2 linked regions of the Arabidopsis thaliana genome follow. The protein of the gene in region 1 binds, or shares a complex with, the protein of each later gene. Each region holds a gene or a part of one and is shown in the gene's direction. Other genes may lie near its edges. The genes, in order: GI and LKP2.

Region 1 (3,924 bases):
GAAATTTAGAAATATATGAATACTTGACAAATATTTGAATATTGTAACTGATTTGTTTGTTCGTAATACTTGACAAACTTTTTTGAATATACACCTTTACATATATTTTGAGTTGAGATAAAAAGGGAATTATGTTAGTTTATGGATTATATTATGTAAATACCACATCTAACTATGATCGGATGAAAACTAAACCAGCATATCTCTAATCAGTAATATTTACTAAATTTATATATCATTAAAGATTTTTTGAATTTAGCAAAAAAAGAAGAAGATATCATTAAAGATTTTTAAATTTAAAGTATAACATAATGAATAAATCAAGTGTTGAGCTTAGTTTCGCGTTGCAAAGATGTTCATTTGATTTTTTTTTTTTTTTTTCCATTTGATTTTTCTTATACTAAATTGATTGATGTCACGGTCCTTCTGTGAAAAAAGTATATTGTACTGTATAAATTTATAATAGTCATACTTGAAGATAACTAATATCATTTTCTAAAGGTTTTGTTGACAATGAAATGGGTAATGATGAACATCTCGTTTGCTAAACCACAAAAGAAATAATTCGTTGGACTATAACTTAAACTTATAATATATCAACTGAAATGCCTACAATTTGAGAATACGCCTTTTCAAAAAGTTTTAGAATTTTATAAAAATTTCTCCACCATAATATTACTTTAATAAAAGCTTGTTATTAAAATGATATATTAACAAAAAAAAAAGAGGTAGGCAAAGTAGCTTTTATTAAAATTAATGTTTTCCCTAATTGGTAAATCATAAACCAAAAAATTGAGGTAATTCTTAATATATTTACTATGATTAGAATGATACATTAATGTAACATTTTATCATCTTCATTAATAATAGTAAGTTCTCCTCAAAATTACAATTTGATATCAAAAAATATATTTGTATTACAAGCAATTACTGAAAAATTAAAATTACAATTTAGCCCAGTTACATAACTCCACGTAAGGTTTGAGCCCATCACATCACATGGTACATGACCAAAGCCCAGTTATGTTACCATGGAGTATTCTTCAGACAAGAGCCATCCAGACAGAAGTGGACCACACAATCACGAATCGTATGGAGATCATTACAATATATTGCTCACATCTTATTGCGCCACGTCTCTTATTTGGCGAGTGATCAACGTCCACAGATCTCTTGCTCCACTCTGATTGGTACACGTCATCATTTTATTGTGCTACTTGTTTATGTGGTACAGTAGAGACAAGTGGTAAGATTTTAAAATATCTTAAAAGATGTGTGAGGCCCATTTAGATATTTTCTCAACGGGCTGTTCCTCAAAAGCTGCCCGTTTATCTACAACCATCGAACGGCTCGAAACTATTCTGGGCTAGCTGCCCGAAATCTCTTAAAGGAATTTGTTGAGTGGGCTTGAATCAACGGTGGATAATTCGAAGGTGTACGTAACATCTCGTAGCATCTGAACTTAGCTCCCCTCAAAATATCTGTGGACATATGTCACTAGCTTTTTTTTTGTGTAATGAAACTATTAATTAATTAGGCAATCACATGAGAGATGTTATATACTTAAATTAATAACTCAATAATACAATCATGACCACCAAACCTTGAAATAAAATAATCTCTCTGATTACTTGTACAAATTCTTTACCAATATATGCCATACTGTGAATGTAATGGTTTATTTTAAAACAGCCAAATATTATTGATATAATTATATGTTTAAGTAGATTTTAAACTTAGCTCATGGTTAAAAATAGACAGAATTTTGGAGTAAATCTGAGTTTACAAAATTTATTTATTAGGATTAAAATTAATTACTTAAATTGGCAAACATTTTTCTTGGTGATTGTAACATACAATATACGAATTTGAATTCGCATTGTGATTCCAAAACAACACTAACATAAACTACCAGTAAAATTTTTTAAAATAAAATTTCATATATATATGCTTAAAAAATGTAACAAAAATATGGTAAATTTTTTAACCATGGTATGGGTGGAGATGTATGTGGGATGATGATGGTTATATGGTAATGGCGCATAAAGGTGGTGGCAAAGGCAAGGAAATATCGATGACACGTAAGCAGACGGGAAATCTTAAACCGAGTGGAGAAGCCTCCAAATCTCTTTTTTCTCTCTCTCTCTCCTAAGGCCACCACAATCTCTTCTTCTGTGTATGTATTCTTTTTTTCTCCGATATTCGTCGATCTCTCAAAAATATCCTCAAAGCCAAAAAAAAGCAAGAGTAGAGATAACCAACCAACAAACTCATAGGAAGACATATTTACTTTCAGGTCTTTCTTCTACTACCTTTTTCGTGGTTTTTGGTTGATTGATTCTCAGATGAGATTTTTTCCCGAATCATTTGATGTCTTTTTTTTTTAAATAAGTTCTTGGTAAATCACTGTTTCTACTAGCATTTTTTGTTTTCTCAGCTTAGATTTGTTGTTTGATTTGACATCTTATCTGATTGAGATTTTGTTCTTCTGAATTGTTGTTACAGGGTTTAGCTGTTTGATTCAGCTTCGATTTAGTGTACAGTGTGTTGATTAGTATAAAAAGGATTTAAAAGAATCTGGGAGATGTGTATAGTGATTGTTCTTGCTGGCGAATGTTAACACTACGTCGTATTGATTCTCGATTGATAGTAGAAGAAAGGTGTTAGTTAGATTGTTCGTTCATCTAGTTGGGGTTTAGTTTCGGTTCCTGGATGGCTAGTTCATCTTCATCTGAGAGATGGATCGATGGTCTTCAGTTCTCTTCCTTGTTATGGCCTCCGCCACGAGATCCTCAACAACATAAGGATCAAGTCGTTGCTTATGTTGAATATTTTGGTCAATTTACATCAGAGCAATTCCCAGATGACATTGCTGAGGTACTTGATACCTAATGAGTTTAATAAGAGTATTCTCTTAGTAGTGACGTTTTGATTCATGTATAATTTATCTGTATCAGTTGGTCCGGCATCAGTATCCATCAACTGAGAAGCGACTTTTAGACGATGTGCTGGGTATGATCAACATTTATGATCCACACTTCTCTTTTTGTGTGTGAATGTCTATCTGATTTTCGTTTTCTGATGAAACAGCGATGTTTGTCCTTCATCATCCGGAGCATGGTCATGCAGTCATTCTTCCAATCATTTCATGTCTTATTGATGGCTCGTTGGTGTACAGCAAGGAAGCTCATCCGTTTGCCTCTTTCATATCTTTAGTTTGCCCAAGTAGTGAGGTATATAATAGCTGTCTAGTATCATGCTTACTGATTTGGTGTAACCTATACCATTTTGTGCTAACATGTTCACTATCCTAACAGAATGACTATTCGGAGCAATGGGCTTTGGCATGTGGAGAAATCCTTCGCATTTTGACTCATTACAACCGTCCCATTTATAAAACTGAGCAGCAAAATGGAGATACAGAGAGAAATTGTCTGAGCAAAGCTACAACTAGTGGTTCTCCGACTTCAGAGCCTAAGGCTGGATCACCAACACAGCATGAAAGGAAACCTTTAAGGCCTTTGTCTCCATGGATCAGTGATATACTACTTGCTGCTCCTCTTGGTATAAGAAGTGACTATTTCCGATGGTAAGTAGACTCTGTTACTGATGCTTCTATGTGTTCATGCGCCGGCCTCCTTCTTTTATTTTGGTCTCTCTGCTGAGGTCTATGTATTGAGGTTCTGTAGTGGATTAAGCTTACTGACAACTAAAAATGTTGCTTATTATTTACAGGTGTAGTGGTGTAATGGGTAAATATGCTGCTGGAGAGCTCAAGCCGCCAACCATTGGTGAGTTCAAGAATTCCATGTTAATATCCCCTGGAACTGGATTTTGATGATAATTCTGATCAATAGAGTTGTTCTATCACTTCGTTCATAAATGTGTATCCATCACCTGTGGCTATAGAATGTGTTTTGAGTT
Region 2 (3,924 bases), on another chromosome or scaffold:
TATCAAGCGGAATTTTTGTTTCTTGTTCCCCTGCATGTTTCTGGTGCGAAAAAGATGGAGTACATCTATCGGTTGGTTTTAATTTTCCTTCACTTCTAAGTAGTTCGTCTCTTCCTCTTTTAAGAAGTCGAAGATCACTTCTTTCCTGCCAGTTATTAATATTTAGTTTTCTAATATCCTAGAGTATATGTTACAAAACCAAATTCATTTGTATTATTGAGAATGACTAACTGTTTCATTCGCTCCCTCTTGTTCATTCACTCCCATCGTTTCATTCGCTCCCTCCTCTTCATTCGCTTCCTTGTGATTTTCATCCAAGGACTCCAGCTGTTAAATCAAGTAAAGTGAGAACCAAATTCATTTGTATTAGAAAAAAAAAAAAAAGACAATTCACATTTGCATCAGCCGATTTACTGGTTTTCTCCGGCAAAGTCTCGACCACCTCAGTGACATGTGAATGGTCAACCCATCTATTGCTTTCATTCCACTTGTTTGGTGGCTCTCCCATCTCCAAGGTCTCGTCATTCCTAATCGGAAAACTATTTAGTGGCTCTCCCAAATAGTTCGGTTGTATGCGATGGTGTTAAAGCAGATGCATGGAACATGTGCAAATACCATACTCAATTGAGAGGTGTATTCCTTGGGCAATATAACTTTGCTATATGGCTGCCACTTAATCTGAAAAAATATAATCTAAGTATTTAATATAGAACAAATGCATATGACAAAGAGATGAAATTTTGTTAGGTACCTCATCTTCCTTCATGTCTACAAGCATCTCTTGATAGTGTCCCCCACTTCTGTTGGCACAATTTTTGGTATACGGTTTATATATCTTTGCCCACTCAACCATTAAAGGAAAACTGGATGGAAATAGTTGTTGAAAGATAGTAAATCGCTCTAATGCAAATACCTACACGAAAAAATAAAAAACAATTAACATTATACAAATAATCAACATCAACATAATTAGTTTTTGTTTCACATAAAAACTTTACTTGCAGAGCAAAGACAAAACCGCAGAAAAATGTGGTTTGACCTTTAGTAAAAGCCTTCTTCCATTTGCATAAAGCGTCTTTTAGGATAGTTGAAGATGATGTCTACCCTCTAAACACACAAGATTATATGGCAGACACCACCCAAAACCAAGGCGTAACACAAACACGTAACAGTGTACAAACTTCTTCTAGACGTGCAAGGCAACCTCGAAGAAGGTCTATCATTGAAAGCGTGATCGAAAATAGTGGAAACTTTATTACGGAGTATCGTGAAAGACGGGGTGTTGTACTTTTGTATCAAGATGTTATTAACGCTCTTAGACGTCTTGATGTCCCGAAGCGTACACCATTCTGGCGGGCTGCAGTACGATGTCTTGCTCAAGCCAACTATGCATCGGCTTTTGTTGCTCTAGAAGAAGAGGAAAATATTGATTGGCTTGAAGCTATTACTGGATTCAGCAAAGACGGAGAACGTTTCGATGAGCAAGAATTGGGTTTTGGATGCAATGGTTTCATGATAAATTCAAGTTTCTAATGTTTTTAAATCAATAAAACTGATTCTAATACACTCATTTGGTAAAACCAAAAAAATCTCATAAGAAACTTACAGGATATTTTGTGTAAACCGGATAGATAAACTAAACCGGTAAGGTAAAATTAAGAAACCGGTCTGGTTAAAGATGGAAAAGGAGAGGCACTGAGAAGAGCCGAGTCATCGACCGACCGAATCATCTCTCTTCTTCTTCTTCTCCTCCTCTTAGAAGTGGGCGGTGGAGACTTCCATTACCTACAAATATCAGATTCCTCTTTTCTTCGCTCGATTCCATTTCAAAATCTGTTCTTCTATCTCCTGTTCCTGAAGAAGACGATTTCTGGGTTTGTCTAAAGTTTGGAACTTTTTTCCTGTGGAGACTTCGATTACCTACAGATATCAGATTCCTCGATTCAAAATCAAACTTTGTTCTTCTGGGTCTCTTCTCCTGTTGCTGAGGAAGAAGATTAGTGGGCTTAAGCTTTATTTTGTGGGTGTGTATGCAAAATCAAATGGAGTGGGATAGTGATTCCGATCTCAGCGGTGGAGATGAAGTGGCGGAGGATGGATGGTTCGGTGGAGATAACGGAGCGATTCCGTTTCCGGTAGGTAGTCTTCCTGGCACGGCGCCGTGTGGGTTTGTGGTCAGCGATGCTCTTGAACCTGACAACCCTATCATTTATGTTAACACTGTTTTTGAGATTGTTACTGGTTATCGAGCTGAAGAAGTTATTGGTCGAAATTGGTGAGTTTGCTCTTCTTGACTTTTACCCTAAATTTGTGGTGTTGATTTTGTTTTACTGTAGCGAATTTTGTCTCATTTGTGGTATTGGTACGATGTTACTAGAAAGCTTTGTTGAAAGCTGTTTTGACAGAAAGAAATTTATATTTCGATTCATTATTATGGTTCTTGTTGATTATGTTAGGTATTATTAGCTAGAACCATTTTGGAATCATGGGTTGGTTATTGAATTAGAAGTTTGTTGTGGAGGAACTAAGCTATAATGTGAGGTTCAGTTTGTAATGTTTCCTATGTCTGTGGATTAGTGTTTAGGAACTCGAACTTTGATAGTTTTTCACATGTCTTGATTGGTTTATGAAAGCCTTGGGATTATTGATTTTTGTAATATTGAATTGTAATGCGTTTTTGTCTAAGTATATATGTTTCTGTTGAATATGTTTCTCTTGGGTTTTAGCGGCTTTTGATCTGGTATTCCATGTTAATTATGCATATAGTTTAGTCTTTGTTCAATACTTGTGTGTGAGGAATTGTTCGCCAAAGTACTGTATCTGTTTAGTTGTTAGTTATCTATTCGATGAATTGAATAGGAGGGTCTTGTATCTGATTTGTGCTGTTGTTTTTTATTTGGCAGCCGTTTCTTGCAATGTAGAGGGCCATTTACTAAAAGAAGGCATCCAATGGTAGATTCTACAATTGTAGCGAAGATGCGACAATGTCTAGAAAATGGCATCGAGTTTCAAGGCGAGTTGCTCAACTTTCGGAAAGATGGATCTCCCTTGATGAACAAGCTGCGTCTAGTCCCTATCCGTGAAGAAGACGAAATCACTCATTTCATAGGCGTTCTCTTATTTACAGATGCAAAAATTGATCTTGGCCCATCTCCTGATTTATCTGCAAAAGAAATTCCTAGAATATCTCGCTCATTTACTTCTGCTTTACCAATCGGAGAGCGTAATGTTTCTCGTGGACTCTGTGGGATATTCGAACTGAGTGATGAAGTAATAGCTATCAAGATATTGTCACAGTTGACTCCTGGTGATATTGCATCGGTTGGTTGTGTATGTAGGCGGCTCAATGAGTTGACAAAGAATGATGATGTGTGGAGAATGGTCTGTCAAAACACATGGGGTACCGAGGCAACACGTGTTCTTGAGAGTGTTCCCGGTGCAAAAAGGATTGGTTGGGTGCGACTGGCCCGAGAGTTCACCACTCACGAAGCAACAGCATGGAGGAAGTTTTCAGTTGGAGGTACTGTTGAGCCTTCTCGGTGTAATTTCAGCGCATGTGCAGTTGGGAACAGGATTGTTATCTTTGGCGGGGAAGGTGTGAATATGCAGCCGATGAATGATACATTTGTGTTGGACCTTGGCTCGAGTAGTCCCGAGTGGAAATCTGTTCTGGTCAGCTCTCCTCCTCCGGGTCGCTGGGGTCACACACTTTCTTGTGTCAACGGTTCCCGTTTAGTAGTGTTTGGAGGTTACGGGAGCCACGGATTACTCAATGATGTGTTCTTATTAGACCTTGATGCAGACCCACCAAGCTGGAGGGAAGTATCCGGATTGGCCCCTCCAATACCAAGATCATGGCACAGTTCGTGCACACTTGATGGCACTAAGCTGATTGTATCTGGTGGTTGTGCTGATTCAGGAGCT

What was found.
Region 2: the proteins of GI (region 1) and LKP2 are in contact, whole or in part, in a crystal structure (PDB 7WA4), measured with the Arabidopsis thaliana proteins. Residues at the interface, in NP_564180.1 of Arabidopsis thaliana: Met564, Arg568, Ala569, His572, Leu576, Glu577, Ser650, Tyr651, Leu653, Ala654, Ala655, Ala658, Leu659, Cys661, Glu662, Ser703, His707, Ser754, Lys755, Ala756; in NP_849983.1 of Arabidopsis thaliana: Cys45 (codon at 2,163), Phe47 (codon at 2,169), Val49 (codon at 2,175), Asp51 (codon at 2,181), Glu54 (codon at 2,190), Ile60 (codon at 2,208), Tyr61 (codon at 2,211), Val62 (codon at 2,214), Asn63 (codon at 2,217), Thr64 (codon at 2,220), Glu67 (codon at 2,229), Arg73 (codon at 2,247), Ala74 (codon at 2,250), Glu75 (codon at 2,253), Ile78 (codon at 2,262), Gly79 (codon at 2,265), Ile140 (codon at 3,076), Glu142 (codon at 3,082), His148 (codon at 3,100).

Annotation. Positions count from the first base shown.
Region 1 is NC_003070.9:8,059,686-8,063,609, forward strand, and holds the start of GI (gigantea protein (GI)), read left to right. Parts: upstream 1-2,065; 5' UTR 2,066-2,296; intron 2,297-2,505; 5' UTR 2,506-2,712; coding exon 2,713-2,877; intron 2,878-2,957; coding exon 2,958-3,012; intron 3,013-3,090; coding exon 3,091-3,233; intron 3,234-3,317; coding exon 3,318-3,589; intron 3,590-3,735; coding exon 3,736-3,791; intron 3,792-3,924. UniProt on the Arabidopsis thaliana protein: Involved in regulation of circadian rhythm and photoperiodic flowering. May play a role in maintenance of circadian amplitude and period length. Is involved in phytochrome B signaling. Stabilizes ADO3 and the circadian photoreceptor ADO1/ZTL.
Region 2 is NC_003071.7:8,195,362-8,199,285, reverse strand, and holds the start of LKP2 (LOV KELCH protein 2), read left to right. Parts: upstream 1-1,802; 5' UTR 1,803-2,030; coding exon 2,031-2,275; intron 2,276-2,903; coding exon 2,904-3,924. Other genes in the region: AT2G18920 (uncharacterized protein), read left to right, coding at 1,126-1,533.